4 linked regions of the Arabidopsis thaliana genome follow. The protein of the gene in region 1 purifies or fractionates together with the protein of each later gene. This does not show direct contact. Each region holds a gene or a part of one and is shown on either strand. Other genes may lie near its edges.

Region 1 (7,183 bases):
CTCGACGACAATGGTGTTTTATGTGATGAAAACAAGCGGTGCAGCGCATGCACCCATTCCGTTTGCCTCGAATCCTTCTATGGTTGTATGGATTGTGACTTCATTCTTCACCAAAACTGTGCTAAATTTCCTAAAAGGAAACGACATGTGCTACACAATGAACGGCTTACTTTATTTACACGCGAGGCTGGTCACTTTTGGTGTAATGTTTGTGGTAGAATCTCCAATGGTTTCAGTTACCAATATGGGGATATGAAATTAGATGTCATATGTTGTTCAGTGTTGGAGCCATTTGTCCATCCAAGTCATCCCGATCATCCCTTATATTACATTTCACCAGAGATGGAAGAAGTCTGCAATGGTTGTAACATGTCGGGAACTAGAATGCTCAGGTGCATTGAAGATGGTTGTGGATTTGTCTTATGCTTCAAATGCGCCACTTTACCGCGAGTGTTAAAGCATAGAGTTGACGATTATCCTCTCTTACTATGCTATGGCGAAAAGGCAAATGGTATATATTGGTGTGAGATTTGTGAGAAAAAAATGAATCCAGAGAAATGGTTCTACACATGTAAAGATCAATGGGCTAGTTTGCACACAGAGTGTGTAGTCGGAGACTTTTCAGGGCTCATGCCAGGAAGCGTAGTAAAGGCTGAGACGGGATCATATGAGGTTGTGCTCAACAAGAATGTATCTCGCCCGTTTTGCAGGCAGTGTAAGTCGCATTGCATGTACCCTATCATCTATAAGATACCTGAAACCTCAGTTTCTTATCTTTGCTCTGATATTTGCATAAAGCGTTTTACAAAGAGAGACTGATGATGTTTAGTTTTGGGCTTTGTGTGTCACACACGTTTTTCTGTGTTCAAGAAATTATTAGGGTCGTTTGAATATTTTTCCTTTATTTTTCGTTAAGGTTTTCCGTTGAATCCTGGTCCAAGGAGGAATCGAGTCTTTGAGTATAAATAGAGTTGTATCGAGTATTTGTTCTTCAGTCTTTTGTTTTAAGAAAATCAATAAAAAAACAAAAAGAGGTAACCCTAGTTACCCAAAGAGCTTGTGTTTGCATAGCACTGAGAGGAGTACTCTCGGCTCATTGTTCTAGTTCAAGAGGACGATCATCGTCTTGCACGAGTGTCACAAAATTTTGTTTAACATGAGCCTCAAAACAACTTGTCACGAGTTTCTCTATGAGTTTATATGTCTAGGTTTGCTAATCTAAAGTGTGTGAAGCCAACGCATTCGTTTTTGTTTTATTTTTTTCTCCCTTGCACAAAAAGATCATTTTCAATTTTTCATTATGAGTTGATTACTTGATTTCCTTCATGTGTTATTGAATTTGGAGGACTAGTGATTCTTGTAGTGATTATCACATTTTCCCACTAGGTAGTTTAGTGTCAGTTTATTTCTTAACTATAGTGATTTTAACCATTTACGGTTTACACAAAATACTTCTACAGATTTGGTAAAACGATTGGAAAAGAGAATTCAACTAGAAAAAAGAGAGGGTTACTGTTTGTTACAAACAAGACAAGCTGTTTTTCATTCTAAATTGTTGGCATATGACTAAAACAAAATATTCTTAAGAATTAAAAGAACAATCATGATCAAACAGAGTACAAGGAGTATAGTTGCACATTTCACCATTGCTCCTTCTCTTTGTGTTCTCTCCGCCTATTTAAAAATTGAAATGTCTTTGTGAGTTCCATACGGTGAAAAATCTGTAGTACTCACAAAATCTTATGAGTTTTGGGTAAAGAATCAAACCTTTTGTAGTTGTTTATAGCCTTCCTCGACCGATGTAGAAACGTTTTGGACATTGTAGTCTATCCGATCAACAATCGTGCCCTAATTGATACAAGAATATAAGAAAACTAATTGTTGAGAAGCCAGCAAAAACTTTGTATCTAGCCAGTTATGTAATTCATAAGCCTTTTAATGACTAAGCTAGGCACCTGGTCAATCACAAGGGCTGATAAGTCTTTCATTATCTGTGCAAGGTCATTCACGGAACCCAGAACCTAGACAGAACTCTGAAGTTAATCGCCATCGAAAATGTGAAGCACGCAGCTTCTTAAATATGGTCGAGTAACAACTTCCATTACCTGTTGTATCTCTCGTTCCCTTTCCGCTGAGACATGTTGCCCTTCCTTCAACTTGATTGTCTGGTGTTCATCGAAACCCTACAATTTATTGAAGACCAGCGATTCTCATTATGGTATTGGCAGAGTAAGGACGACAAGGTTCTGAAGATTGATTAAAAAAAATCTGACTCGTCCTAGCATGATAACCATAAGAAGTGTTTCTTAAAAATGTAAGGAAGACAAGGATAACTGATTAAAAATCTGAATTGCTCTAGCTAGATAACCATATTAAGTCCTTATTAATTTGTCAATGATATATAGTTTTACAATACAAGTAAGCACTTACCATCCCACCAAGTTCATCCTCTTCATCCAGTCTCGACATCTTTCCATTCACATTAAACTCTAAATCTACTTCATCCTGACCCTATGATTAGAGAAGCCAAATACAAATAAGAACATCATATTACGGTACATGCATGTCTCAAGAATCAACACTTTTTTTGTTTATTTCTTGAAAATAAAGGAAACATACCTCTTTCTGCTGCTGCAGACGTTTTAAGTAAGTAGACTGTTTTCTGCGGAGCTCCATGGAAAGGTTCTGAAGATCTGTTGCAAGAGAACGCTGTCAAAAGCAGTATGCCAAAAAGTAGGTCAAGTCCATTGGAGAGCCCCACTATACATGTACACAGAACTTTATCCTCATGCTACAAACTCAAAACATAGAATAACCCAAAGTACATTATATAGAGGGAAAAAAAAACACTTCATACATTTTGCTGACTGATAATGTCAACTAGATAGGTAGTCAAAACATATGAGAGTGATTTAACCCAAAATTCCTAACTTTCTTCTCTAAAAGCACAAAAGAAAAGGTAATGACCATGCATTCTTTATTGTTAACAAGCTCGATTCTGAAAAAGTGTCCAACAACCTACCTGCACATTTTTCCTGAGATTTGATTCTTCAGAAGGCCCTCTAGTAGATAACATCTGCAATCTCTTTTCTGACTTCCTCAACAAATCTGTGATCTCATGAGTGAGCATCTCGACTTCACGATGAATCCCTTTGTTATCTCCAAATGTAGGCATAAGAGCCTTTGAATGTGCCTTTGCTAGTTCATTCATTTTGTCTCGCACCTTTTGTATATTAAAAGTTATCTCCTCAGAATCATCAACCCAAGCTGGTGGCATACCAATTGTGAAGGCATCACTACTGCAAACATTCACAACAACACTTAAATCATTTGCTCATTCTGTTACCTAATTCGTTTAGGGTTCTAATTCTGTATCTCAAATCAATCCCATGATTACAATTCGTTTCTATATATAAGTTCATAGAATTTCCCAGGTTTTGCAGAATCAAACAACACATTATATTATTACCTTGATGGACCAGGATCATAGGAATTCAAAGGAGCATAAGAGGAGTGATTGGACCGGGAAAATGAACCGCTAACCATTTCGATCACCGGACCACCGAACGAATCAGACGCCGATAAAGATAATGGAGCACGCGCGCTCTTACACGCATCCCTGTGTTTCCGGTACACCGTCGTTCGATTCCTCGTCGCCATCAATACCAAATCAATTGATTCTCAACAGAATCTCGAAAGTAAAATTTCCCGGAGAAAATAAACAAAATCGGAGCTTTTGTCGTCGGCAAAAGCAAACGAATCTGAATCGCAAAATCGTTTCTCATTAGCGCGTGTTACAGACTTAGCAACGAAGGAGAAGTATTTGGGCCTTTTTAGGCCCATTTATATATTGGGCTTATAGTCCACTTGCGCGATAGGGTCAATATAAGTGTGTGGAGCACACGTTTTAAGACGGTGGCGCAAAGACGAAAATGCCCGTAGATTCGTGGCGGCTAAAAGTCAACAGAGGGACGTTGGTGGTTCAGGGTAAAAGAGGCTATAGTGACCGGTTAGGGGTAGTTTGGTCATTGGATTTAGCTCAATAGATTCGTGTCCATGGATTCCCTCATGTCGCCAGAGAAAAAGACCACATTTAAAGGTCTTGCCTTTTTGGTGTGTTTCCTCGCACTTTCAGGCTGAACAAAGTACTGACAGATGCTAATAAATACACGGAGGAAGAATATGCTCCTTTAATTATTATCTGAGATTTTTCAATTCAAGTTCGTGTGGATTCAGAATCAAAATGGAAGAAGATTTGTTGGGCATTTGTGGGTTTGATTCGTCGAAGAAATATCGATTAGAAGAACTTGCCAAGTATCAGTCGGGTTAGTGTAAAGATCCATTCTTTTTCCCAATTGCATTTAGCTTTGTTTTAGGGTTTATGCTTTATATGCAGGTGGTTTTAATTTCTTTATCAAATTTCAATTCTTTTGGCCCTTAAGGTCTAGTGAGTTTAAATTTTGTCACTTTATGGGTAAACTTTATGTTATGTAATTGATAAAAGTTTTGTGATGGTGAAATTTTTGTTTAGGTTCATGTATTGAGTTTGAAGATGATGATGAAATGGCAGTGGATTATCCATGCCCGTTTTGCTCAGATGATTATGATTTAGTTGAATTGTGTCACCATATCGATGAGGAGCATCAACTAGACGCCAACAATGGGGTAATTGCAACTCGTATCCATCTCCCAAATCAGTTACTGTTCTTTAAACTATACATTTGAGTTTTTACATGAAGCAGTTAGTTGTAAATTTAGACTATTTATCGTGTGATGTTCATTGTTGTACTCTAATGGTTACTTTAGTAGGCAGGATTGTGATTCTGTAAGGAGAGTTGGTAGGGACTTCTTGGATTTTAGTTCACTTGGATTATTTGCTTGATGCTATGAGGAACCATTTTGTAGTTGTGAAGTGTTTGGTGTGAGAAATGAAAACAGTCTTTTGGTGATGATGAATGTAATAACTTCTCACAAATTCAGCTTTGGTTGTGATGTAGATATGTCCGGTTTGTAGCAGACGAGTGAAGATGCATATGGTTGATCACATTACCACTCAGCATAGAGATGTCTTCAAGGTATCCTTTTTTATTTACTCTTCTTGCTTTCGTTACCATTTAGTAGAAAACTTGTAAGTCTTTTTGTGCTTATTCTATATCTTGGTATGTTTTATATCGGTTATCTGACATTTGTGTTCCTTGACGAATACTTACCTTGAACAAAAGCAGAGACTTTACAAGGATGAGTCATATTCAGCATTTTCTCCAGGGACTAGGAAATACTTACAGTCTCTAATCGATGAGCCGTTGTCTACTAATCATACATCTAAAAGTGTTCTGGACCCATTATTATCATTTATATACAATCCGCCGTCACCAAAGAAGTCCAAGCTTGTACAACCTGATTCATCTAGTGAAGCAAGCATGGAAGACAATAGCTTAATAAGGGATTCAACAGAAAAGTAAGTAATTCTTTGACATTTTCTTGATTCTGCTTGCTTTATCTCATCTTCTTAAACCTTGTCTAAAGATACATTTCGTATTTCTGTGTGCTCAGAGACTGGGAATCGCCGTCTCCCTTGTCAGATACAGAGCTACTAGAGAAGGCAAAGAAGAGAGAGTTTGTACAAGGTTTAATATCATCAGCCATATTTGATCACATTTACAACTTCTAAGAGCATAAGTCTTTGTATATGAAACTCTCGCAAAGTAGTCTGTACTCTGTAGTATAAGCCAATGAGCTTCTGTTTATCGTCAAACTTCTACTTTGCTTCTTTACAGCTCATAATCCTCAAGTCACTTGAGGTCGGAGTTTCCTTAACAACCACTTCTTGCGTAGTTTCACATCTAGAGCCAAGAAAGTTTTCGCCTTGAGTTTATCTTCAAGCAGATCACAAGCATCCAATATAAGTTCATCGTCCATGTCTGGTAACGCTTGAATAGCCTCAACCGTGTCCTCTATTGACATGGTTTGGGTTTCATCAACTCGAGGCTTTTTCGGGTTTATAGGGCTTGTATCAGTATTAGCAAGTTGATCTCTTTTGTTCTTGGGGTCAAACAAAAGAGAGTTGCTATCTTCTTCCTCAGCTGAAATAGACAAATCTGTAGTACCACTGGACTTAAATTCTTGGAATTCAGTTTCAGGGTCAAACCAATCCATAGCTACAAAGCATTCGTTTTCTTCGATCCCAGAATCGCCACAGAGCACACACAGATCTTTATAGTACGGAATTGGCCGAGTCATAAATTGCCTTGCATCTCTATGAGCCTGTGATTAATTCAGACAAGAACACACATCAAAACAGAGACGAAAACACTGTAACTAACCACACAGCATAGATCAGAGCGATTAAGTTACCTTTATATAGTCTTGCCATACATTATTATCAGCTGTAACCATTTGACGCTCATTATCCCAAGCAAACCCATCTGATCGAAGAATACTCTTGATCGCGTTGAACTGTCTTCTCAGAGACTTATACCGGTTCTTCAACACATCAACATCAAAGTTAGACTCAAATTTCGCATTGAAGAGATTAACCATCTCAGTCCATGCTTGTTTCCTGAAAACACCTTCAATCTGGTTTCCTCTCCTCGCTTGGTCCAACATCAGATCAATGAAATACCGGTCCATTGGAGGATGCCAAGTAGTCCTGCACCGTGTGACACTGCTTCCTTTTGAGTTAGACCTGACTGTTGACGATTCACATATTCTGTTGTACCCATCATCTTCCTGAATCAGTGTCTTGGATTCTCCCTCACTAATACTCTCCTCAGCTGAAACATACATATTCATTCACAGGTTACTTAAGAATCTTTGATCTTTGGTGACAAGAATGTACAATGAAGGATTCAAGTAACAATCAATAGATTAAAGATTGTACCTTTGTGCTCAGACATTCCATCTGAGTAAACCAAGCACAGATCTTTGTAACAAGGTATAGACTTTATCCGAAAAGATCTCGAATCAGGATGAATCTTCAATAACCCAAAAGCAAAAACAAATCAATCCCTGAGAAGAAGACACAAAATCACAAGTAAACAAAACGCAAAACGCACCTTAAGATACTCATCCCAAACGCAGTTATCAGCAACAACCATCTGTCTAGTATCATCCCAACTAAAACCATCTTCTATCAAAAGATTATTCACAGATTTAAACAAGTTCCTCAATGTCTTATGCCTGT
Region 2 (9,872 bases), about 15 Mb from region 1:
GGTATCTGCATTTTTCAAAAGTTAAACAATAAGTTATCAACCATAAAAAAAAAAACTCTCTGATGTTAAATTGCATTTTTCAAAAACTCAAATTCAAAAGTAGTCGTCGAATGGTGAGCCACCAAATGAATAAAAATAAAATCTTACAACTTTGTAATACTCAAAACATACTGAAGCATTTAAAGGAGCAATTTTTTAAGTCCCACTGATCGTAAGAAGAACATATAAATTAAAAGACGAAACTGAAATTGGAGCTTAATAAAACAAACAAGAGAAGAGAAATGGAATGGAATGGATCAATTTACCCACTGTGAGGAGTCCGGAGTTCGCGATTGGGAGACGTCGGGACGTAAACAGGTTTAACGGAGATCTTGTCAGTTTCACTATTCGGGGTGGAGATCGACGCCGAAACCCTAGAAATGGAGCGGGGAACTAGTTTAGTCGATCGGAACGGAACTAGTGAGCGAGTGAGAGGAGATACAGGGCGAGAGAGCTCAAAGGAAGATAAATTAGGGTTCATAGAAACAATCAAGCTCCGTATCTCCATAATGGAAGAAGAAGAAGAAATATGCAAAAGAATGTGAAATTGTGTGTTTGGTGTTGGTGGTGACAAACTCTGTGAAGAATGCAGAGAGGAAGAAGAAAAGGACGAGAACGTGTGGCGGTAAGTAGTTACGTGGCAAACCCCAAACGTAACGTATTTTTATTTTGTTAAATTAACAATTTCTCGTGTCTTGTTTTCAGTAATTTACGGAAATTTATTAGAGACAACATTTCACAAACAGACGTGAGGAGAATCTCTACAATTTTAATTGAAATCGTATTTTGAGATTTTTTTCCCTTTTAAAATATTTACAAAAATTCTGAAGAGAGCTGAAAAGAAAACAAAATAGAATACGTCAACAGCAGGATTCGAACCTGCGCGGGCAAAGCCCAATTGATTTCGAGTCAATCTCCTTAACCACTCGGACATATTGACAATTTTGTTAGACAGACTCTTATACAAATTAATATATGCACGATCCAAAAGACTGATGATGATGAATGGACTAGATTTACTCTTCTTCATTTGTCTCTTGTTTCTTTCTGTTAGACTAGATTTCAAAAACCCAAACGAATGGCAGGTTTTTCTTGTTTACGACGAGCAACATAAGAACTAACAACAGTCGCAAACAAAACAAATCCTTCCTTTCTACTTTTTCGGTAATTGACATCATTGAGTCGAAAGAGATTATATAATGCAAGCATAGTTTGACATTTTGATGTCTCCATTGACTATGGAATTAGGGTTGCAATCATATACAAAGAACATAAACTGTCCTTTTGGCAAATTTAAGAACCATAACTCTCATCCAATTGATATCAAACTTTATTGCCAATGGATATAACAAATAAAAGGTCTGAAAATACAAATGAGAGATTAAAATGTCCTAAAATAGAATCTCGAGACAAACCCCAAATCGCTGAGTTCTCAACAAAAGATTTTCCAGTTTTCTTTTCTCTACAAGAAATATACAAACCCATAACCAACGGTAAATTATAAGGAAGAACATAACACATATGTATATCTATGTTATCTCCCAAGAGGGTAATAAAATCAATGATGAAAAAAGCTTAACAAAGAGAAGAAAGAGAGTTAGCTGAGGAGGATAGAGGAGATGAATACTGGTAAATGATGAATGGATGGAGGAATTTTCACATGGTACCAGCTCTTCCGGAAGTCGGTTTTGTAGGCTTGAATTTGGAGATGTCCACAAGATCCCCAAATAGCTTGTCCTCTGGTTTATTCTTAGGTTTCATTGGAGGCAGATAAGATGTGGTAGATGATGATGATGCTACCTGATGCGATGTCTGGTCTCTCATGGATAAACCGTACATTTGCTGGTCCAGATATGGGCTGCTTCCTTGTTGCTGTTGATTATAGCCATATCCGTATCCTCCCATCTGGTTTCCATACGCCTGTTGCTGTTGTTGTTGCTGTAGCTGTTGCTGTTGGGCATAGTACTGAGCCATCATCATCTGCTGCTGCTGTTGTTGCTGTGGTTGATAGCCTGACCCAAGAGCCTGATTTGGTTGGTTTGGCATGTACACGCCGTTTTGTGGAATTTGAGGATATGGACTGATGTTGGCAACTGCTTGACCTGTTTGGGGCATTTGAGCATATGGACTGTTATTGTTGACTGGTGGCCCGGTTTGGGGAATTTGAGGATATGGATTGTTGTTGTTAACTGGTTGAGCATGTGTGAAGGCAGTCTGAGTTGGATGCATTCCAGGAGAAAACGGACTTCCTGACTCCGCAGAGGGACTATAGTCTTGGAGCTGAGCTTCCCATGGGGGAGGTGGAAATGCCGTACTGTCTTGGGCACCTTCTTTATATTACAAGATTACCATAAAAACAGAACAATTAATGATTAGACATGAGACACAATTGAAGCTGATTCTTCTGAATCCAAAAGAAGGAAATTCTTTCTCCTTGTTGCCATAACCAGAGAAACATTGGCATACTGCAATCTAATCTCCAGATGTGTGAAAAACAAAAACTGTTTATATATATTACCATAAGATGGCTGGACTGGTTGCTGTGCAGGCTGACTGCTCCAGGGAGAAGAGACTCCTTGCCCGTATGATGGCTGCTCAAACTGCGAATAACCCACTTGAGGCGCAAATCCATTGGATTGTTGTAATCCAGCTTCTCCAGCTTGACTATTTGGTTGTTGGTGCCCTTGAGGATTCAAAGGAATATTCTGAGCTGGATTGCCACTTGGTGCAGTTGCAGGACTTGGATTATTAGTATTATCTGAGAACATGTCGATAAGGGCGAGTGCATTTTGATCTGATGCAACCGGACTTGCTGGCTGAGGAGGTCCAACAGGAACAAGGGCAAGATCATCGCCACTGAGGAGGTCTATTTTGGAATTGGCTGAACCATTAGTTACAGGTGGTGCAGGGAGGGCCAACTGATTTAGAACCCCGTTACCAGAGCTCGATGTAGCTCTGTGAAAACGTTGGACAGTATAAATCAATAGCTATGTTATAAGACAAAAAAAAAACTTTTACAAGGTCACTTGGCCTGAAACCCCAGTTCTTACTTGGTTAAGAGACAAATTAACACCGTTTATATTAAAATGATTATAAAGTTACTCCCAGATTCATAAGTAACTTTTCGTTTTCACATCCTAGATTGTAATAGTTTGGACGTGCAAGCCATATATCGAGCTCAAGATTGCAGCTAGGATCGGTAACCCATATCCAAAAATAGGTGATTTTATCCAACATTCTTGGGTGCATAACAGTCAAGTTTGGTAGAACGTACCCGTTCGCCTGATTACTGCTGTCCCCTGTATCAATAAGTGGACCATCAACATCAACAAGGGATTTTCCTGTCTCGGACTTGGGCTTCTCGATCTGAGAAGAAGTTCCAGGTAATCCAGAAGCAATTGCTTCATAATTGGTTAAGACACGCTGCAAGTCATCATTCAAAGCCAGACCTTGACATAACAAAGACTCGTCCCTGAAAAACAAAGTTGCGAGGTAAAGAAGAGTACAAAGAAACATAAGGTCTGAAGCATAATAGCAATTCTAACTGTATTATTCCACACGATACTATCTGAAACGTGAAGTAAGTAGCAGCATTAACTCAGACAAGTACGGATTTCAGATAATTCTTAATGAAGTCCTCTCCCCACCCTCGTCCATAATAAACCAAAACCCACACAAAACACGAATCATTTCCTGCTGAATCTAGTGGTACTATGTATGCATATTAGAAGATGAGAATAAAAAAAAAAATCGTCTCGTACCCCAAGAAATATAACTTATATGAGACATGAAAGAGATAATCAAATGGAACCGAAGAGGAAAATAAAGAGCTCTTACGAAGTCGAGTTGACGAGGTGCACCACTCTTTGTTTGTATGTACGACACTGCTCCACCAGATCGACCATAACCTCTTGTTTGAGATCCTGAATAAATCCAAAAACGAGAAGAATGATCATTATTTAGTATATTTTGGGCTATAGCCTACACTTGTAAACAGGTAGCTCAAACACTCTGCAACTAAATCGTGTTACCTCCTTGTTTCCGGGCTCTAATGCACTCAGCATCTCCGCAAGCACATCCATGATACCTTTTGCATTTTGAATCTCCGACAAACTGAAAAAGAATTTGACATACAGCAGAATAAAATTTTGAGAAGCAATAAATACTGAGCAACAAAGGCATACATATACGTCCTAAACAAAGCAAGCAAACAGACACAAAGTTAAAACTAGCAGACCCTAGTGAACATGCCTATTAAGTCTTACAAGAAAAAATTGAAACTCCGTTACTGCAAATGCGTGCATTTTTCAAAAGCTAGAAGGCTTTTGCTTAAGTGTGATTATTTTCTTGATTCCTCTTTACTTCGATTCATCCTATATATAGGCTTCCAACTAGGGAAGGACGTTGAACAAAAAGTAGCTAAACATATATTACGACAATTTGTTAGATATAGCAAGGACGTTGAAATTTTCCCAACAAAATATTGTATGCTTTTGTTAAAAATTTATGAACTTAAAACTGCGGAGTTGCAACAGAAGATATCTACCTTAGAGTCGGAAATTCTGGCTCTGCTGAAGGTTCAGGCACATCATTACCAGGTCCAGCGTTACGAAGATTTGGAGGGTAAGATGTCAAAGGCTGTGTTTGAGGAGGTGTGAACACAGGAGCTGATCTCTCTGATCTCTGAGGGAAAACAGCACCAGCACGCTGAAAGGGACATGAGTCACTGGTGGTTAGGCAAGAGTAGTAGAAGATTTTCTAACAGAACTCACAAAAGGATCTAAGAAGAATTCATTATGAGATGTAATAAAATTTCAGTATGAGACATCTGGACACCCAGAATCAGAAACACTACTCTACTGAAGGAAAAAAAAATGAAACCCAAAATAAGTATATCAAACAACTAAATTATGTAGACATACCAACAATTCCTGGTATCCTGCATAGTATTGTGGATATCTTGCCCTAGGGCCACCAAAGGCCTCTTGCCATGTATCGATAAGGACCAGAATCTTCTCTTTGACATGGAAGTCCGGCTATATGCATCAGACCAATTAGGATTAGAGAGGCAGAGCAAGGGAGAGAGAAAGAGAGACCAATTTGGAAGAACCATTACCTTCTTCTTAACTATCCGGACCATCTCATGAATAACACCTTTCTCAGCCACATGCATATGAACCATGTCACCACAGTTCTTCACTATTGTCTCAAGCAGCTAGAACATAACAAAAAGCATGACGATGAGTGAATAACTATCATTGCAAAACAAACAAGAAAGATGAAAAAACGTGAAAATAATTATCAGCATATCATTCTTGTTAGAAAACTTGTAAGTCATTAAAATCCTCATCATGTACATTAGTATCATGAACAAGTAATCTCTGATCATGTCAACTTCCACTAATAAAAGAGGTTTGTGAAACAAACACGCTATCCAAATGCACCGTTTCAGAAACAACAGTGGCTATTTCAATGAAGTAGCCATCAAGGAAAATAAAAAGGAGAGACAGTTATCTAGGAGCTCACAGTTAAGGCAAGAAGCTGAGCTTTTGGATTCCTGCTACCAATCCGTTTTTTAATGCCTTTCACAACATCTTTTGCTTGCCTACAAAACAGGAACCAGTTTCAGACATCACATAGTATTGGTGCAGTTAGTACACACACTGAAATCTCCTTCTTCCAATCACAAAGCATATAAAGAAAATAACTTGAGAGCTTCTACAATTAAAGCCCTATGAAAGATGACTAAATTGAGCAAAACAGTAGGCCACAAGTATTCCAATTGGTCCTAGAAAACATGGAAATATCTAACTCTGGTAAAGAAACGAAATTTGATTTCCATCTTACTGTTAACTCTCTCTCTCTCTCTCTCACTGAACCAAAAATCCAAATCCGTATAGAGAGTTACAATAGTTTACAGGAGACTAATCGAGAAGTATAGAAAACAAAAGGTAGAGAGAGAGAGAGAGATAACAACAAAAACAAAATCGGAGGGAGCAGAGGGAAACATACGCTGGATCGCTATTGAGCATATCACAGATCTCGAGGTTCATAGCCCAATCAGGCCCGATCAGCATCTCGCTCGTCGCTCTCTCCACCATAGCGTTCACCATCTTCGCTTTGACCCCCAAACAGAAAAACAATTAACCTCCGATTGAAAGAGAGAGACGAATTTTGAAACCAACGAATCAGGCGAAGACGAATTAAGCAGCCGGTAAGATCACGCAAAGAGATTACTCCGGCGAAGAATCTCTCGCTCAGGAATTCACGCCCTTCTCTCTTTCTACTAGAAATCTTTTTTTTTTCCTTTTCTTTTCTTTTTCTCTAATTGTTAATTTTCAGAATTTGTTTTTTAAAAATGTATTTTCTGTACTTCAGATCATTTTTTATTTTCCACGAAATAGCAAAAAAGGAAATAAGTCGAATATCTTCTGGAAAAGGGTCCACTAAAAGATTGCCACGTGTTCATATCGTTGTGTTTGGATAGTTACACCAATTCAGTCAGGTCATTGCTTTCCATCGGACCGTTGCTTTTGACCCACCTATAAATCCGACGGTCATCGTTTCACTAACAGTAAATGTTAGTTATTAGTATTATTATTTTTTCGTTTTTGGGAGCTAAATATAATAATGTTATCCAATCTAAATGAATGAATTAGATTTAGATGGAACATTACAGTTTGATGATTGGTCGATTCTCAACAGCTTACAATGTTTTCTTTTTAATGATCGAAACAAAGTATTTGCAAAACAAAACTAACCAGCGATTACGATTGCGATTGCACACGTATGCAATTAATTATGAGTGTCATTTGATAACGCTATGAAACCGTTAAATCCACATCTTTACAAAATTCATCATAAAGAAAACATTTTGGTCTTATGAAAGTCGTGATTGGTGTGATACAAACCTAAACCAACTTGCTACACATCTATTTACTCTCTATTCTATTCTATTGAGTTCTCGTTTCTTTATCACTTTCTGTGTTGGATGTATTCACCCACTTGCAAAAAATAATTTAGATTTATAGACATCAAAATTGCATAAGAGTGTTAGTTCTAACTTCATCAGTTGAATTAATTAGGACTCTATAGCTAAGCATATTCTAATTCTATGATTATGATAATAATTGAGCGGGAAGTGGGGATAGATTCGAACTTTAACAAACTATTGGGGGTCAAACTGTAATTACACAGAAGTTATCAAAGCAAGTACCTTTACACGCGCCTAATTGTTTCTGCATCACTAATACTTCTTCCTCATTTCCCCAGTTCGGTGTTCATTGATTTAGGGTTCCTGATAAACTTCGGAAACCCCTATTTTGAATTGTTTCGGAATTATCTGGTGAGAAGGGTCTAATTCGATTGTGGATTAGTTTTTTTTTTGTGTTTCTTCAATGGCGATCATTGGAGATGCGTTGCGTCAAGCGTTTATGCCAAAGCAAGAGTACGAGAGCCTTAGGGAAGAAGATAGAGCCTGGATTAAGCTTCAGAGGCCGACTTTAGTCTCGATCGTGGCTTTCCTTTGTTTTGTCATCTTCACTTGCACGATCGTCAGCTTGAAAATTGTATTTCCTTCGAATGTTCTTAAGAGGCCATTTTGCAGCGACATAAAGCTACAACCTTTGCCTATCTATGGCAAAGCTCGTGACTCCGATCTCTTTCCCGGTGCTTTTTACTTGACCGATCAAGAAACTGTTGATTATTACTGGATGGTCGTTTTCGTTCCCTCGACTATAATTTTCCTTGTATCATCTGTTTATCTTGTAGCAGGTGAGCGTCAAGTCTCTAGCTTTTGTTCTTCGTTATTTCATATCTACAGAGCTGGGTTTGCATTTGTGTTTTGTTGGCTGATTTCATTAGATGATGCTCAGTTCTGAGTGGCTTTACGCTAGATATTGATGCTTAGCAAATTTCTGGCAAAATGGCTTCTGAATTTTTCGATTGGTGAGGTGAAATATTGTCAGAGAGGGTTGATTGATTGATGTGTCCTCAAAATCTGAATGCTCGTTGTTATGTTTAGTTCTAGAATCACTCGTTTTGATTGAAGCCACTATATAAAGACAGGTCTGATGATGGTTCAGGTTTATTGGGATTTTAGGGGGTTAGCCATAGAGCAAGCTGTGGAGTTTGCTAAATCCAGTTAATTCCTCTGCTAGATTTTGTTGGATTTGAATTTTATATGGATGTAACTTAGTGGAGCTGATTTATTTCCTTTATTGCTTTCTGCCTCCACATGGCAGCCCTTCTAAGTTTTACAGGTGTGGTATGTCTGCTGCTTATTATTCTCGCTATTTTGTTGCAATACTGCAGGAATTTTTGTGGCTTATTCCGCTCCTCACCGTCATGGGTTTCTAAAAGTCGTTGAAAATAACTACTGTGCTTCAAGAAGAGGTATACTCTCTTCTCTCTTTAATATGTATTCAGCTTTCCATATTTGTTCTTTGTATATCCATGCATTCGTGTAATAGATTCATTCCTTTTCAGTGCCAGACTTTATCTTATAAATTTTTATGTGTAATTCTATTTCATCTGCTAGTAATTACTATGTTTCTACCTTTGAGAATCTGGGCTCTTCAGAGTTTATCACTAAGCTTGGACCTCAAAATAGGTTATTGATCTTCTTTATCATGTCCAATAAATTCACAGGTGGGGTCCGTTGTCTGTCAATTCTGAATGTTGTGTTTGCTATCATCTATGGTCTCCTTGCTATATTTCTCGGCTCAAGCCTCCTCACATTAGGAAGCAGCTGTTCTGTGCCTTTGTTTTGGTGCTACGAGATTTCTTCATGGGGTTTAGTAATCTTGTATGCTGGAACTGCTTTCTCCCTTAGAAGAAGAGCTGCTTTAACTATTGACGAAGGAGAGTTTGGGAACAGAAATGATCAGGGCTTGGAGATGCTTGAAGCTAATCCGTTGGAATTCACACCAGACGTTGAAAGACGAGTGAACGAGGGGTTTAAAGCATGGATGGGACCATCTTTATTATCATCTGATGAAGAAGAAGACGAACCTGACTTTTACAATGAAGTGCCGAATGTAACTCATACTCTTTCAAGCAGGCAAAGATCTTGATTCTTGCAAAGAAGAATTTGGTATGACACTTATGCAAACCTCCAAAGATGATTGCTTCAGAGATTGGGCTCACCAAATTGTTCCCTCAGTGATTCTCGGGTTATTTCATGTCTCTGCTTTCTGCTGATGTTGTTTATGGACGGATCATGAGAAGATTTTGATCCGGAAGATAAATCAGAACGGTTAGGACTGTTGCTGTTGTAGATATACACATAGTGGATCAATCAAGATTGTGTTTGGTTCTGTCTTTTGAGCAGTTCATGGTCGGTTTTGATCGTTTACATTGTTCATTGTAGGAATCTTGGGTTTGTAGTATAGGCCTAACAATACATTTTGATTGTACAATAACCTTTAGATCAACAGTAATAGCATCATAAAAGGATTAGTATTAACTTCCAAGTCCTATAAAAGAAGAATCTGTGTCTACACAATATCATAATACAAACTTTGCTGGTTTTTAATGGTTTTATGAATCAGTATCATACCTGAACATTGTGAAAAATTCTTAGCATTTAACAGAACAAGAAGAAAATCACTTGGTTCATCATGAGGACGAGAACTTTTGGAGTTACAAGTTAATTACTTGAGAACAAGTTACTTTTTCGCTATTTAATCAATGGTATGATGTCCAGAGTTGAGAGATCTACACATTTAAAAAAATTAGAAACAAGAAAATTGGACAAGGAGGGAATAAAAAAGACATACACATATGGGATCAAAAAATTGAAGGCGAGACTCCCTTCAGAACTCTATGAACAA
Region 3 (7,217 bases), on another chromosome or scaffold:
GTAGCTTAATATATTTTAATTAGGATTTTTTCCAGAAAAGAAGAAAAGAAAGAGGAGCGGTAAATTACATATGGTAGTTAAATGGTGTGGGGTTTGGTTGATTGGTTGGTGTAAGTTGTAACTATTTTGATGAAAGAAGCATAATGATAAGGTTTTAGAAAATGTTTTGTTCTCTTAGAACTAGTGGAGAATTCTATACAAAACAAAAATAATGAATGGAGCATTGATTGAGGAGGGGAAGCAGTAGTAATTGCATTAAATTCGAGAGAAAAAAATGATAGAGAGGTCAAATTTTCTGCATACGAATCTCAGGTGGAAATGATTGATGTACACCTAATAAAATATGATCACGAGTCGCTTCTTTCTCTTTCCCATCGTTACATTCTCGTAGTTGTAGCTTAGTCTCAATCCGACCAAACAAGAAATCATCTCTCTCACATAAAGACGGAATCTTGCAAGATGCCATATGAAAAAATATTTTAACCTTTTACACTAAAAAAGGCATATGTATTAGAAAACCAAAAAAAAAAAGTGGTGTCTTAGGCTCCTAGTTTATTGCCTCCAATTACAAAAAAAAATAAAAAATTGGAGATAGTTTTTGTCAAAGTTTCATACACTAGTGACGGATATATAACACATTAGGTTGTTGTTTAATTGACCATATGGTAAGAAAATTGTTTGCATTTGAAAGCTATATACATATCTTAATTAAACACATTGTGAAAGGGACTATATCATCCCTTGTGAGCTTGAAATGGTTAATTAAAGGTTTTGAGTTTAACGTAACAAACACTCTTTTTTGGTTAACATTATTACTATATATAAAAGAATAAGAAGCAGTACAATCTTGGCATATTTACAAGTATGAGAAACCATGTGCTATAAAATGGGAGTAAGAAATTCAAAGATGCCCACCCATCATGAAAAAGCCAAAATCAGTGTCAAAGAGAGTGTGTGGACTGTGGATACATATATTACACAAATGTAATGATGGAAACGCATAGGAGAGAGAGAGAAGAGTAAATGGTGATTTAAGAGCAGAAGTGGTTGTCGTTTCCTTTACAGGAAAAGGAACGACATGAATTTCAGTGCCAAAAAGATTGAAATGGTGGTTAGGAGTCAGGCTTCAGTCTCTCTCACCTGACTCTTCACTCACTTCCATGATTTCCTTCCTTCTCTCCTTTTTCACTTTTCTTACTCCATCCTATTCCTTCTTTAAAGCCACACACTCTCTCTTTCTCATCTCACCTCAATACGTGATCTCCTTGATTTACATTTTTTTTTTTAACAAAATCTTTTTGTTCATTAGGAAAGAAGAAATAAGCAAAAAAATTAAGGATAAAGTATATGGAACTTGTTTTTCCAATCTAACTTACCTAAATTTGTATAGGCAAACTCCGTAAATCCAATAAAAGTCCCATACATGAATTAGGAAACAATTTATCCCGCATTATCTGCGGATAGAAAACAAGAAACAGAAAGTTGATATTTGATTGAGTATATTTAAATGAGAGAATATCGTATTTTCGATTTTATATATATATATATATATATATATATGTAATGTTAAGGAAATATATTAAGACATAATAGTATACTTATACTTGTTTAAAATGAGAGAACCCGTAGTTTATGTATATATTTTTTTTTTATAACAAAAATATGTTAACCAAAATTTAATTAAAAAATATGTTATCAAAATTCATAAAATGTTGAAAATCTACAACTAAACATTTGTTACGTCGGAGTTGGAAGTATCGCCTTTCCGTTTAATCTTTTACCAAAATCTCCGGTGGGTTCTATTTTGTTCAACCGCATTCGCCTCATAGTATCTTCAACCCCTTTCGTAGAAAACTGCTTCTATCCCTAACATCACAACTCTAAGCTCACCTAGTCAAACGCAATAGTTTCGGATTGCTAAAAAACAAACAAAAAAACAAAAAACAAGAAATTATCAAAAGAGATGGACGACGTGTGAACGTTGTTGGACTGCTCTCAAGCCCATGGACCACAATAATTTTAAAGACAAGAAGAAAAACTTGCTTTAAATTATCATACGCATGCCAATTAATTCGGTCCCAACACCATCTATAAATCTGTAAAAAGTAAGCAAATTGAGTAAGAAATTCCATAATGTGGCTGAATAAGAAAAACAAGGTTTTCAAGATTGATTTGCCAATATTAGGATAGGGGGTTCTTGAAGATAAGTTGATATTCTACAAAACATGTAAAGCAAGCAAAACTTTGACTTAAAACATTTGAATGCAAACCATGTGCCACAATATAAAATCCATGTGATAGTGATGATATTAAGAAAAATTTAAAGGGTGGAGTCAAAATCTTGGCTTCCTAAGAGGTTTCAACGTCTGAGAGATCTTCTCGGTAAAGCTCTGACAGATCTTCTCTGTAAAGCTCAAAGTCACTAGGGCTCCATCTGCAGAGCAAGTTCAGCTTGAAAGTAGCCATCTTCATTCGCAATAGACGCTGCAAAGTAAACAAACAAGTATAAGAAATAAAGCATACAAATTAAAAGGAAAGGGTTTTGGTATACAGAAGTCTTATTACCAAAATGTGGGCTGATTTTGGCGAAAGTTGTTTTCCTTCTTCACAAACTACAAAGTCAGCGACCAACTCCACAGTACCTACATATTAAAATAAGAAGAAGAAATAAGTTTTTGGATTAATATAGATAGCAAAAGTGAGTATGAGAAAGAGGAATATTAAGATGGTGAGACGACAGACCTTTGTTTAGTCGTACAGGCATTTCAAGCTTCCGAAGAAGTGGTTCCATCTCATGTGTGAACTGTTCTAGAGGACCTTCCTTCAGTTCAACCTAATCATTTAGGTGGTACCAATATAGTAATTAAGATAAAAGTAACGAAACAAAGTTTTTTAAATAACAAAGAGAAGCAGAGCCTGATCATAGTCAAGCTTATTTATTTATCTAGAAACAACAGTATATAGAGATGGCACAAGTTCTGTTCACAAACCGTTTCTACTGCAATGCTTCCGGTCCTTGAAAAGTCGGAATCCTCATAAGCGTTAAATAAGCTGCAATACACAACCAGAAGAAGTATTGTGAACAGTTACAACAACTAGACATGTATACAATTCAAACCCGTCACTGTTGTTTCACCAAAGCAAAAGAGGAAAAAAGAGGACGTCAAGAGATACATAGATAGATACCTTTCGACTTCTTCCTTTGGCATATCAGTAACAAGAAGTCCAGTATCACCACGAAGCAGCTGAAACAACATTCCACAACATATGTAAATCTAACTGACAAAAAATGACCATTTAACATAAAAGAACCATTGTAAGAAGCAGAATACACAAACCTTGGAGACTTTGTAGATACCAGAACGGAGTTCATCTTCTGCAGAACGACCAAGAGCAACCTGCATCACTTTGTTCGAACCTAGGAAGAACCTAGACAAATAAGAACCGAGTCAGTCATAACATTCAAGTAATTCTAACATCAACCAGAAGAAGGACAAAGAAACTAACTTTCCATTGTGCCTAAACTGCTGCCTAAACTCCTTGAATTTGATATTTCTCATGTTTTCAAAAGAGAAAACATAGACAGAGGAATATTTTTCAACAGCCTCCCTAATTCCATTCACAATACACTCCTTATGCTCTCTTCCTTTCTTCTTCGTCTTAGACAAAGTCACTGCAGCAAAAAATCAGAAAACAAAACCCTTAGATAAACCATTCATCAATCGATTCAACCATAGAAGCTATGAAAAAACATTACTAACTCCAACAAGTTAAAGTTTTTTTCAAAAGGGTTCCTCTAAAAACCTAACAAAACCCTAAAACCCTTGACGGCGGCTACAAAAGTTACAGCTTCCAAAACCAGTGACAGAGATACAATGGTTCAGACAATAGAGAGCAGAAAGAGTGAAGGAAGAAGAGTTCTAACCTGGTCTATCTCGCTTTGATTTAGGCATAGCTGAGGTTTCAAATGTTGTATGGAAGTGAGAGGAACGAAAGTGAAGGAGAACGGCTTCTGTTTATTAAGCTCCTTTCAATTTTCTTCAGGGAAACTGAAACCCTTGTTCCCTTGTTTGCTTTAATTCGCACTTTTTAATCTGGACCCCTAATTCAACCCGATCCGGATCCGGCCCGTTTCAGGCCTTTTAGCTATCAGAAATCTGGGCCGATTTTTTTTTGTCATTGGAGGGTGTACTAGTTTAAATTTAAATGGATTATAGTGTTTTTAGTTTTTTTTGTTTTGTTGTGCAAAAGTTTTTAAGTTAAGAAATTAAAGTTTTAAATTTAATGTTATAAAAATTAATTAAAAAGTGGTACTTTCAAAATCATATTATTAAACCTCTTAATAATGAATTATAAATTATTTATATGAATGCTCGGAAATTAAACAATGTAAACGTATAGGGAACAATAGGAACAACCATTAGTAGTGAGTAGTGATCTCACTACTGGCAATTTGTTCGAGACTAAGGGGATGGGTCCACTCATTTGTAGAAGTCCTCAACCCTTCTCATGCTCGTAGTAGTCGCCGTGGCTTGTGTTTTGTTCTTGGACGAGAAGTTTATTTGGGAAGGTAAAAGACAATTTATTTATTAAGATTTGATAATATTTATAAGCATACACTATATTATTGTTTTCAAATTGAAGTGTACTTGAAGCAATATATTTATTTTTATTTTTACTAGGAGCAATATTGATTGTATGTGGGCTATATATATGTCGTGCTATATGGCGAAAAGATCAAGAGATGAGTGGAATTAGTTCCGTCGGGGGAATTAAAAAAACACACAAAAATCGCTCGAGATTGTTATAGCTAGTGGTATTGATAGTGGCTCGATCTATGGCATAAAAGAAAATGATGGAAAATATATGACATTCAATTGGGGTATCATAACGTTCTCTAGAGGTTTTTTTGTGTGTGAAATTTTAATTGGGTCAGTATGAATATAACTTTTTTTCTTTCTCATTCTTATAATATGTATGTATGAATTGATACTTGGTTTTCACTTTTGGTCGTATCATCTTTATGCAAGTCACATGAAAGAGAGCAGAAGAATGGAAAGAGAATCCAAGCCCAAAACTTCCACATTTGGATCTTTACCAAGTGTATTTGGCTTTACGTACGCATGTTGCTTACTGACAATAATGATATACGAGCCTTTTTCTTTCTTTTGGAGTTCTTGTGTGTGGCAAAGCCATCGCGGAAAAGCCACAAAGCATGCTTAGCACGTGTCAACGTCAACCTAATATGTTACTTTTATTTATATCTTGTTTAACTTCACAATTATGTTTTAATAAATGTTAATAGCACCGAGCATGTTTCTGCATTGTCATTTTGGCTCATATAGTAAAACGCATTACCGTTCGTATAAGAATGTGTGGCATCGATGTAAATGTATAATAGTTTTCTTGTCATGTTATAACAAATGCTTTTGCAAAAAAAAAAGATTCTTTTGCAGTGAAACGCTCTTGAAAGCTTGTGGAGCTCCTTTCATAGAACGACAATAAACAGTTTCGTCTTATTTTTGCATTACGTCTTCACTTTGTATTCTGTTTTCCCTTTGATCATGAATATACATTTCAACACATAAACTCTTTTGTTTTTCTTTTCTTTTGTCTACAAGAAGGTTAATCCTTCCAAACTTTGCTACTTTAGTAACGAGTTTCCAGAAACAAATATTTGAATCTCACATCTTCCTATATCATGAGCTAGGAGGATTGGACAGTTAATACAATTGAAGTGGAGCACAATGAAAAAGGTATAGAGGTAGAATTAAAGACGAAAACACCTTGGCTACATAAATAGAGCTGATCATGAGCTAACAGGATTGGATAGTTAATAGTTAGAGACTTAGAGTGGGTATCAAAGTAGAAATCAGAAACTGTGGGGCGAAATCAGAGAAATGTGGGGAGAAATGAAGAGTGTAGTTGCAATGGTGGCGGTTCAGTTTATCTTCGCCGGGATGTTCATTTTGTTTAAGATAACGGTCGACGATGGTACGAATCTCAAAGTTCTTGTAGCGTATCGTCTGTCCTTTGCTACTATTTTCATGCTTCCCCTTGCCCTCATCTTCCAAAGGTTTCCTACTCTTTTTCTTACATTTTTATTTTTATCAGTGTGCATTTTTTAATGTATAACCTTATCTATATATGCACATATTCTTCAAATAACCCCAACTTCACCAAGTTATTTGTGTGTATTTGTATTCACTTATTACTCAATGTTAGTTTATTTTAATTATAATGTTTTGTTTTGGATTTCTTATAATCAGGAAGAAGCGGCCAGAATTTACATGGAGGCTGCTCTTACTAGCATTTGTTTCGGGGTTGCTCGGGTACTCAGAACTAGTACAATATCACTTTTCAGCTACATGATTTTATTTATTTATCTATTGATGGCAAGAATATACTGAAATATAATCCTAAATTCCATAGATAAAACAGTGTTGCAATGTGTAAGTTTGAATATATGATGAATGTTGGACTTACCAAATTGCAAATAAATCCTAAATCCTTAGCACCCATGGAATTATCGTTGATTTTTTTAGGTTTTTGACTATCATGCAGAGCGGCGATACCAAATATTCTCTACTTGCCGGGTATGGCTCGAACATCAGCGACATTTTCAGCTGCAAGCAGCATAATTAGCCCATTGATCACCTTGGTGTTGGGTTTGGTGTTTAGGTTAGTAGACACGCGTATCATCAATTTTGTCTTCATTACATGAAATTATGTGTTTCAGTTTTTTTTCATGAAGACAAATTCTCAAAATTTTATACACAGTTTGTATATTTTTTGACGTTTTAGTTTTTTTTTATAGAGTTCCTTATTAATTTTAGTCAACATAGTATACTTAACGATAAAATACAAACTCAATAAAATCATGTGCATAAAAAAATAAAAAAAATAACTTTTGAAATCTGAGGAATATTATTCAATGGTACGTTGTCCATTGAAATTTGCAATGGGATTATTATTCAATTTGCAAACTTAGGAATATTATCTCTTAGCTAATTTGCAAACTTGTCCATTGATTAAAGATTGAATAATTTCTAGCTGATAAGAACTTAAAAGGCTAAATGACGTTTAGTTCTAATTAACATCCTCTCAATTTGTCGTGCCCACAGGATGGAGACTCTACGGCTGGGATCGAACGAAGGGAGGGCCAAGCTAGTGGGGACGCTGCTTGGTGCATGTGGAGCCCTCGTGTTTGTATTCTA
Region 4 (6,828 bases), on another chromosome or scaffold:
CATGGAACTTATGCACTGCAGCTGCTTCTAATTCTTTCTTCGCAGAAACGGTTTCATTCTTCATACTTGCAGTAAGAAAAGAACCAGAGAGCTTGTCATCTCCTTTGAAAGGTCTTTTCACCCATGGGAGACCTGAAGGCATGATACCGATAGTTGGGCACATCGTATTCAGCCCCTCGAGAGTCTGAATACTAAAACTATAACGAGGGACAGCCCGCACTCTTGTAAGAGATGTATCAGTAGTGAAAATGTCTTGGAAACCAAGGAGATGCATGGTACGAAGACGTTCTGGCCAAACCCAAATCTAAAGGACATACAAAGAAAAGAAACTCAACTCTTAATCCATTTGGAGTATGATGAAGGAAGCAGAGGATTACTATAAGAAACCTTGATATTGAGAATGCGGGAAACATGAACAAGGAGGTCTTCTTTTCCCAAAGAGTCAACTGCTATGATGATATCATGTGAAGGATGAGAAGCAATTATATCAGCAACCTGCAAGTAAAGGAGATGAGGAATATAACAAAGAGAAACATGATTCAGGGTTTAAGGCTTTTGGATTAGGGTTTAGGTCGAACCAATTGAACAGCGACTAGACGGGAAGGAAAACTGTAAATTGGATTGCAGTAAGTGTTATCCAGATAGAGAATGTCGACTGGAAACTCGTCAATAGCAGCAACGAGAGTGGTTCTAGCTTCGTCTGATGCATCAGAATCCCACCGGAAGTCTCCAGTGTAGAGAAAACATCCGAAATCTCCCCGGAACAAAAACATTATGGATCCTACCACATTATACCAGCAAATTCAAATTTCACCACTGAGAAAGCGAAGCCTTATATAGAAATAGATTAGACTTTTATCATACCAGGACAGTGGTGAGCATCGATGGCCATGAGATGGAGGCGGACTGTGGAGCCGGAGGAAGGAGAGCGGAGGGAGAGAGATGTCCAGGAAAAGAGAGGGACGACGCGAAGCAAGGAGAGGTCGAAACCTGGGAAACGGGAGGGAAATAGAGAGGCGGTGGTGCGGGAACAGTAGAGAGGACCTTGGGACCATCCGCCGGAGAGGCCACGAGTGTGATCGGAGTGTATATGAGTCAAGAAGTAGGCTTGACTTCCATTTCTCCATCGATCCACTGATATCAGACCACTCTCCATTTCGGATTCCTTGAAAATTGAAATTGCAGGTGTTTTGCAGTTTCACCATTTTTGTTTGCCCACTTAGTGACGATGATTCCTTCCGTCTTTTGGGCCGTTTATGATGATTTATGATTGGGTCTGTTTTGGGTTTTACAAACGAATGAAAGTGTTACTTGCTCTTACGTAACATAACATTTCGAACTTTCTCGAGTTCAAAACTAATCCATCCGTTTTATCAGACTGTGTAGTCGATGTATTGGTCATTATATTAATGAGCGTTATGAACAAACTGGGCGACGATTTAACAAGTCTTAACTAATCCATCTCTAAAACATATTTCAAGATTTTACTATGAGTTATTCATCTATCAATACCAAGGATAAAGAGAGATTCTTTCAGCAATCCAAAAACCGATAATCATCATACTTAAAAATTGAGTATTGGTCTTATAGAGAGAAGCTAACAAAAAGTATTAAGGGTAACACAAGTGAGCACAAATAGACTGTCTATGTTATAGCTTAAGATGAGGCTCCTTTCTTTGACTTTGCTGCCAACTGTGTCTCCGGCTGTGCAAGAACCCAACAAAAATTATGTGAGATCAGTGATGAAGATGAAATATAAGTATTTGAAGATATTCAGAGAGGCGTTGGGATCATTAAATTACCTCTTTCTTCACAGGCTCTTCTTTCTCTGACAAAATCAACTCAATGTGGCATGGGTTTGACATGTAAGCTGCATAAGATAGAATTAAATCGAGAGTCAGCACAATGTGAATGAAGAAACAAACGTTGTAAAAACAGTCGAATAGAAAAGAAGACATACGATTGATTCTTCCATGAGCACGATATGTCCTTCTCCTCTGTTTTGCTGCTTGGTTCACTTGGATGTGAGAAATGAAAAGGGCATCGACATCCAAACCTTTGACCTGATAACCAAATGGTTTACAAAAAGTTTTAGTAACTAACTAAAATCACCATGGCAACAAAACAAAAAGAGTCGTAAAACCAACCTCAGCATTGCTCTCAGCATTCTTGAGAAGATCAAGAACGAATTGAGCAGATTTAGCAGGCCAGCGACCTTGTCCGTTCGAATGCCTGTTCTTTGCCTGAGCGGTACGACCAACACCACGACAGAAACGGGTGAAGGGGATAGCTTGCTTGTGAGCTATGACATCTTCCAAGTACCTTTTGGCCTTGTTCAATGGTAGCTTCCTTATGGCGTGCGCTGTTTCTCTAGTGTTCTGTTTCATACAAATTCAATTCAAAAACACAATTAGACACATCCAAATCATCAACAATGAAACTAGAATGACAACAATACTGTTCAGTGTGATTATTTACCTAATGGCACAGTAACATTTAGCACCTCAAACCTAATGTAAATGATTTGGTGTATTGCAAATTATTGAACGACTACATCTATACAAACCCAGATACTACAATCATGACCTAATCAACAATACTGAAAATTGAAAAAGGATTCAGAGCTAAGCTAAAATGTACCATCATGTACTGAACCATATGCTATTAGAAGTAACATTGGCTCACCCATTCACAATGACCAATTCGATTTTCCTGACATTTACGTGAGGTCTGTTATATAAAACAGAACCCTGCTTTTTGTTAATCAGGTTTTATTCAAACTACAAGCTTAATCCCCATAGGAAAATCACTTAATCTAATTCATTTTTGAGATCCGGAATCAGTACAAGAAATTTACCTTGAAGTGGACCCTGAGATCGGCTCCTCTCGCCTTGCAAGCTGCAAACGCAAAACCAATCGAAACCATTTCAATGAATACTCATTGCATAGCTTGAGGTAAGCCAATAACAGTGTAGCTTGAAGCAAAAAATAACAGAGACTATGAAAGTGTTCTTACATTTGGTGATATTATCGGGCTCTTGAGAGTACTTCACCTGAAGAAAAACAATAAGAAGACGAAGAACATAAGTATAGGAGCATAAGTTAGAAGTGAAAACGTTGTAACGACGAGTCTAGTGTAACGCATTTACCATGGCGGCCAATGAGAAGAACAGAGGACGGAGAGGATAGAGATCTCAGTAGTTGGAGACACTTAATATATAGTGAAACAGAAGAAACCCTAATCGGCGAATACATTAGTTGAACTAGTGTATTAAAGTACTATTTGTTCATATGGGCCTTCTGGGCCACTTATCTTGATAAGTAGGCTTAAAAAGCCCAATTATGTGCTGGTAACACCCGACTTGTAGGCTAAAACCCTCGGAACTTGTTTCACATCGAGACAACTCTTTAGACTTTTCTCAGTAACAAAAACACCGAACCCTAGATTTTCTTTCACCTGAATCTGAAGATGGAGTTCTCTACCGCCGACTTTGAAAGGCTTATCATGTTCGAACATGCTCGCAAAAATTCTGAGGCTCAGTACAAGAACGATCCTCTTGATTCCGAGGTTTCTTTCTTCTACTTGTCCTCCCCTCTCCTCAGAATTTGTGAAATTGCTTCATTTCGATTAATATGATCGGACCTGATATGTAACGAATATTAAGGATGTTTTGTGGAGATGGATTTCGTGAATGTATTGTCACTATGTGTAGTTTAGGTCTTGAATTCGATGGAAATATTATAATTTATGTTATGAGATTGATTATATGTTTCTCTGAAATTACATTTTTTCCTGAGTTTCTTTTGATATGTGGTCATATTAAGAATACCTTTGCGAACATTTTTATTTTCTGTAGAATCTGCTGAAATGGGGTGGAGCTTTACTTGAACTTTCACAGTTCCAGCCTATTCCTGAAGCTAAGCTCATGTTAAATGGTATGATCTCTTCTTTAATGTCTTAAAATAAACGCCTCAAATTCATCTTTGCTCTGAAATGTAACGAAATATTATTGATCATGTAGATGCTATTTCCAAGTTGGAAGAGGCCTTGACAATAAATCCAGGGAAGCATCAGGCTCTTTGGTGTATTGCCAACGCGTACACCGCCCACGCGTTTTATGTTCACGATCCTGAAGAAGCAAAAGAGCACTTTGATAAAGCCACTGAATATTTCCAGAGAGCAGAAAATGAGGTGCATTTTCAGATTTTATGCTTTTGAATTTGAAACTTTTATGTTGTTGTGAGTGCTGTGAGACCAACTTCTTACTATTATATTATTTCAGGATCCAGGTAATGACACATATCGCAAGTCCTTGGATTCCTCACTAAAGGTATTATTTCAACATTCCATTTTCAGAGTCAATCTTTGTGTACGCAAATTATAACATTAATCATGGAGACAATTGCTGCTGTTATAATAACAAGGAGAGAACATTTTATTCCATCTTCTTCTTCTGTATTTCTTTTACATTTGAGCTCATGTTTTTGTCTGTCTATGTGAATAGGCCCCGGAACTGCATATGCAGTTTATGAATCAAGGAATGGGACAGCAAATACTAGGTGGAGGAGGAGGAGGAGGTGGAGGAGGAATGGCTTCATCTAATGTTAGCGTAAGTTATCATGTGTTTAAGTATGCTGTCCAATGTTTTGAAAAGTGTCATCTTCTTATTATCTAGTAGCAGCATGTTCAGAAGAACATAAGCAGAGAGTGAAAGAATCTCATATCATATGTGGGTTATAAGTTTTCGTGGTTGCTCTGAGAAATTGCCTTGCTTTTGCAGCAGAGTAGTAAGAAGAAGAAGAGGAACACTGAATTCACTTATGATGTATGCGGTTGGATAATTCTCGCTTGTGGGATTGTTGCTTGGGTTGGCATGGCAAAATCCCTTGGCCCTCCACCTCCTGCCAGATAAAGCCTAAAGCCATAGTAGTGATGAGCATTCCGTAAGAAATAATGCCTGCACACTGAAACACCTAGTTACATTTCCTGGTACCAAGTTGAAGAGTAACCGTTTGTGACTATAGTACCAACAAATTTATTTGTTTACTTTATTATTAGGATGTTTTGTCTCTTCATATCGGTTTTTGGTTTCTTCTTATCTGTGTTGCACGATGTCTATGAGTTTCTTATTTACAGAAAGATGCTGAAACTTCCTGTAAGAATAACCTATGAGAAGTGAAACTCTAAAGAAGGTAGGAGAAAATTTCCCGTTGCAACAATTCTGTATTCTCAACTATATGCTATGTACTTTTTGTTACGTACTTTAATACATACTCTTAACTAAACACGCTTTAAGATGATTTCGTGTGCGATTCACTTGCTAACTTTGATTAAAATGATTAGATTAGATTCACTTGCTAACTTTAATTAAAATGCTTGCACAAATGGGCCTAGTGAAAGACTCTAATAACCCCAAAGCGAATGGTAACAGAAGACAAAAACCTATGGGCATAACTGTCTTTACCTTATCCCTCGCCAACGCCAGAAATTTTATAAATAACCAAACGCAGCGTTGTGTCTTTTTTTCGTTCGACTCATCTCCAAAGAGAAGCTTCAAAAAATGGCTTGCAAAACGATTTTGCGTTCCGTTTTCGTATCGGAATCACGACGGACTTCCGGCGCACGTAGATGCTTCTTTCTCCCTCCTTCTCCAGCATCAGTTCCAGTCCATGGTTTGTTCCCGGCGCCAAAGAGTCTATGTTTCAATGGTTTTGCATCTGTTCCCGAGCGGGCTACTCGGCTTAATTGCAGCCATAACGATCAATCCGATCAAGGTCCGCCTCAAGAAGCTGTTCTCAAGGCAATCTCAGGTGCGCGCCTTCGTTAATTTCTTCCTAGTATCTCAAATTTTTGTGGTTTTGTTCGTTTGGCCGAAATGGATTTGATTATCGGATGCTTGGATCCTTGGTGAATAGGAGACGGAGTTTTTAGATTCGATTGACGTACTAGTATTTCCCGGCCATTAGTCGGAAGTTAAAAACTGTTCCGTTGTGTCAATTTAACTCTTCCTACACTTGTAGTGATTCACTAGGAATTTAGATTATTTTAGAGTTACTAATTAAGCTGGAATGGTGAAAGAGACAGATGATGTTAATTCACGAGTGCTAGTTTATTGGTACTTTTGTTTCCCTTGTTTCATTCATTTTGCTGGTGGGATGCAGAAGTGTCAAAGACTGATGGGAGGGTTGGGAAAACTACTAACATGATTATTGGAGGCACTGTGGCTGATGATTCTGCTAAAGATTGGCTCGAACTTGACCAAAAGGTATCCCATTCCGATATTTTATTCTTGTTTGGTCAATTTCTAGTAGAGTTGCTGTTCACTTTGCGTTCAAATACTATGTGTTGGTATTTATGAAGCCCCTTGTCGATTTGGAATGCATTCAGTATGTGAAATTTAAGAAGGAGATGGATATTGGCTGACTCAAAGCTGGTGTTTTACTTGCCAGGTCAATACATACCCAACAGAAAGAGGGTTTACTGCAATTGGGACTGGTGGCAATGACTTTGTGCATGCTATGGTTGTTGCTGTTGAATCTGTTATTGACCGACAAATTCCAGAGGTAATATTTCGTCCTCTTAAAAGTATCTAGATGATTTACCGGCTTATACTATCTTTTTTTGATACGATATTTGCTAGTGTCTTCTATACAATATTTTGGCTACTGGCTTGATAATTACAAACAGAACATGTATACAAGTGCACTACTTGGCTTTCTTTACTTTTGTTCTCTTGCTTTGGTCTATACTTTGTCTTCTGCAGTATAGCTGCTAAATGTTTATTCTGTCATATTGTTATGTTTGGATGTGAACTATTTATTTTATCA

The links.
Region 2: the proteins of SYP42 (region 1) and AT4G32760 purify together in Arabidopsis thaliana (affinity purification with mass spectrometry, with the first as the bait; one large-scale study listed by BioGRID). This does not show direct contact.
Region 3: the proteins of SYP42 (region 1) and AT1G25260 purify together in Arabidopsis thaliana (affinity purification with mass spectrometry, with the first as the bait; one large-scale study listed by BioGRID). This does not show direct contact.
Region 4: the proteins of SYP42 (region 1) and AT1G27400 purify together in Arabidopsis thaliana (affinity purification with mass spectrometry, with the first as the bait; one large-scale study listed by BioGRID). This does not show direct contact.

Annotation. Positions count from the first base shown.
Region 1 is NC_003075.7:968,533-975,715, forward strand, and holds SYP42 (syntaxin of plants 42), read right to left. Parts: upstream 3,811-7,183; 5' UTR 3,661-3,810; coding exon 3,470-3,660; intron 3,300-3,469; coding exon 3,023-3,299; intron 2,710-3,022; coding exon 2,620-2,709; intron 2,512-2,619; coding exon 2,431-2,511; intron 2,184-2,430; coding exon 2,106-2,183; intron 2,022-2,105; coding exon 1,956-2,021; intron 1,849-1,955; coding exon 1,768-1,848; intron 1,675-1,767; coding exon 1,567-1,674; 3' UTR 1,462-1,566; downstream 1-1,461. Other genes in the region: AT4G02190 (Cysteine/Histidine-rich C1 domain family protein), read left to right, coding at 1-819; AT4G02200 (Drought-responsive family protein), read left to right, coding at 4,244-4,325, 4,532-4,665, 4,727-4,768, 4,998-5,075, 5,226-5,458, 5,554-5,671; AT4G02210 (Myb/SANT-like DNA-binding domain protein), read right to left, coding at 5,788-6,264, 6,355-6,773, 6,881-6,974, 7,056-7,183. UniProt on the Arabidopsis thaliana protein: Contributes to the regulation of secretory and vacuolar transport pathways in the post-Golgi network, and to the maintenance of the Golgi apparatus and trans-Golgi network (TGN) morphologies.
Region 2 is NC_003075.7:15,795,656-15,805,527, reverse strand, and holds AT4G32760 (ENTH/VHS/GAT family protein), read right to left. Parts: upstream 6,452-9,872; 5' UTR 6,153-6,451; coding exon 6,052-6,152; intron 5,645-6,051; coding exon 5,566-5,644; intron 5,255-5,565; coding exon 5,156-5,254; intron 5,076-5,155; coding exon 4,962-5,075; intron 4,747-4,961; coding exon 4,586-4,746; intron 4,153-4,585; coding exon 4,071-4,152; intron 3,963-4,070; coding exon 3,877-3,962; intron 3,512-3,876; coding exon 3,314-3,511; intron 2,995-3,313; coding exon 2,558-2,994; coding exon of another isoform or gene 2,412-2,557; exon of another isoform or gene 2,370-2,411; coding exon 1,696-2,369; 3' UTR 1,329-1,695; downstream 1-1,328. Other genes in the region: VTE1 (tocopherol cyclase, chloroplast / vitamin E deficient 1 (VTE1) / sucrose export defective 1 (SXD1)), read right to left, coding at 1-5, 306-547; AT4G32750 (uncharacterized protein), read left to right, coding at 7,437-7,812, 8,353-8,433, 8,689-9,113. UniProt on the Arabidopsis thaliana protein: Might contribute to the loading of the ESCRT machinery.
Region 3 is NC_003070.9:8,851,814-8,859,030, forward strand, and holds AT1G25260 (Ribosomal protein L10 family protein), read right to left. Parts: upstream 4,062-7,217; 5' UTR 3,954-4,061; coding exon 3,926-3,953; intron 3,674-3,925; coding exon 3,508-3,673; intron 3,430-3,507; coding exon 3,339-3,429; intron 3,246-3,338; coding exon 3,187-3,245; intron 3,052-3,186; coding exon 2,991-3,051; intron 2,834-2,990; coding exon 2,743-2,833; intron 2,643-2,742; coding exon 2,566-2,642; intron 2,485-2,565; coding exon 2,350-2,484; 3' UTR 1,721-2,349; downstream 1-1,720. Other genes in the region: UMAMIT24 (nodulin MtN21 /EamA-like transporter family protein), read left to right, coding at 5,913-6,076, 6,270-6,332, 6,565-6,681, 7,125-7,217.
Region 4 is NC_003070.9:9,511,554-9,518,381, reverse strand, and holds AT1G27400 (Ribosomal protein L22p/L17e family protein), read right to left. Parts: upstream 3,269-6,828; 5' UTR 3,153-3,268; coding exon 3,150-3,152; intron 3,054-3,149; coding exon 3,017-3,053; intron 2,899-3,016; coding exon 2,858-2,898; intron 2,755-2,857; exon of another isoform or gene 2,632-2,754; intron 2,379-2,631; coding exon 2,148-2,378; intron 2,064-2,147; coding exon 1,961-2,063; intron 1,871-1,960; coding exon 1,803-1,870; intron 1,705-1,802; coding exon 1,657-1,704; 3' UTR 1,312-1,656; downstream 1-1,311. Other genes in the region: AT1G27410 (DNA repair metallo-beta-lactamase family protein), read right to left, coding at 1-304, 388-495, 579-781, 865-1,156; TOM20-2 (translocase outer membrane 20-2), read left to right, coding at 3,470-3,568, 3,858-3,936, 4,023-4,192, 4,284-4,331, 4,506-4,610, 4,782-4,913; AT1G27385 (phosphoribosylformylglycinamidine synthase), read left to right, coding at 5,562-5,811, 6,166-6,266, 6,451-6,564.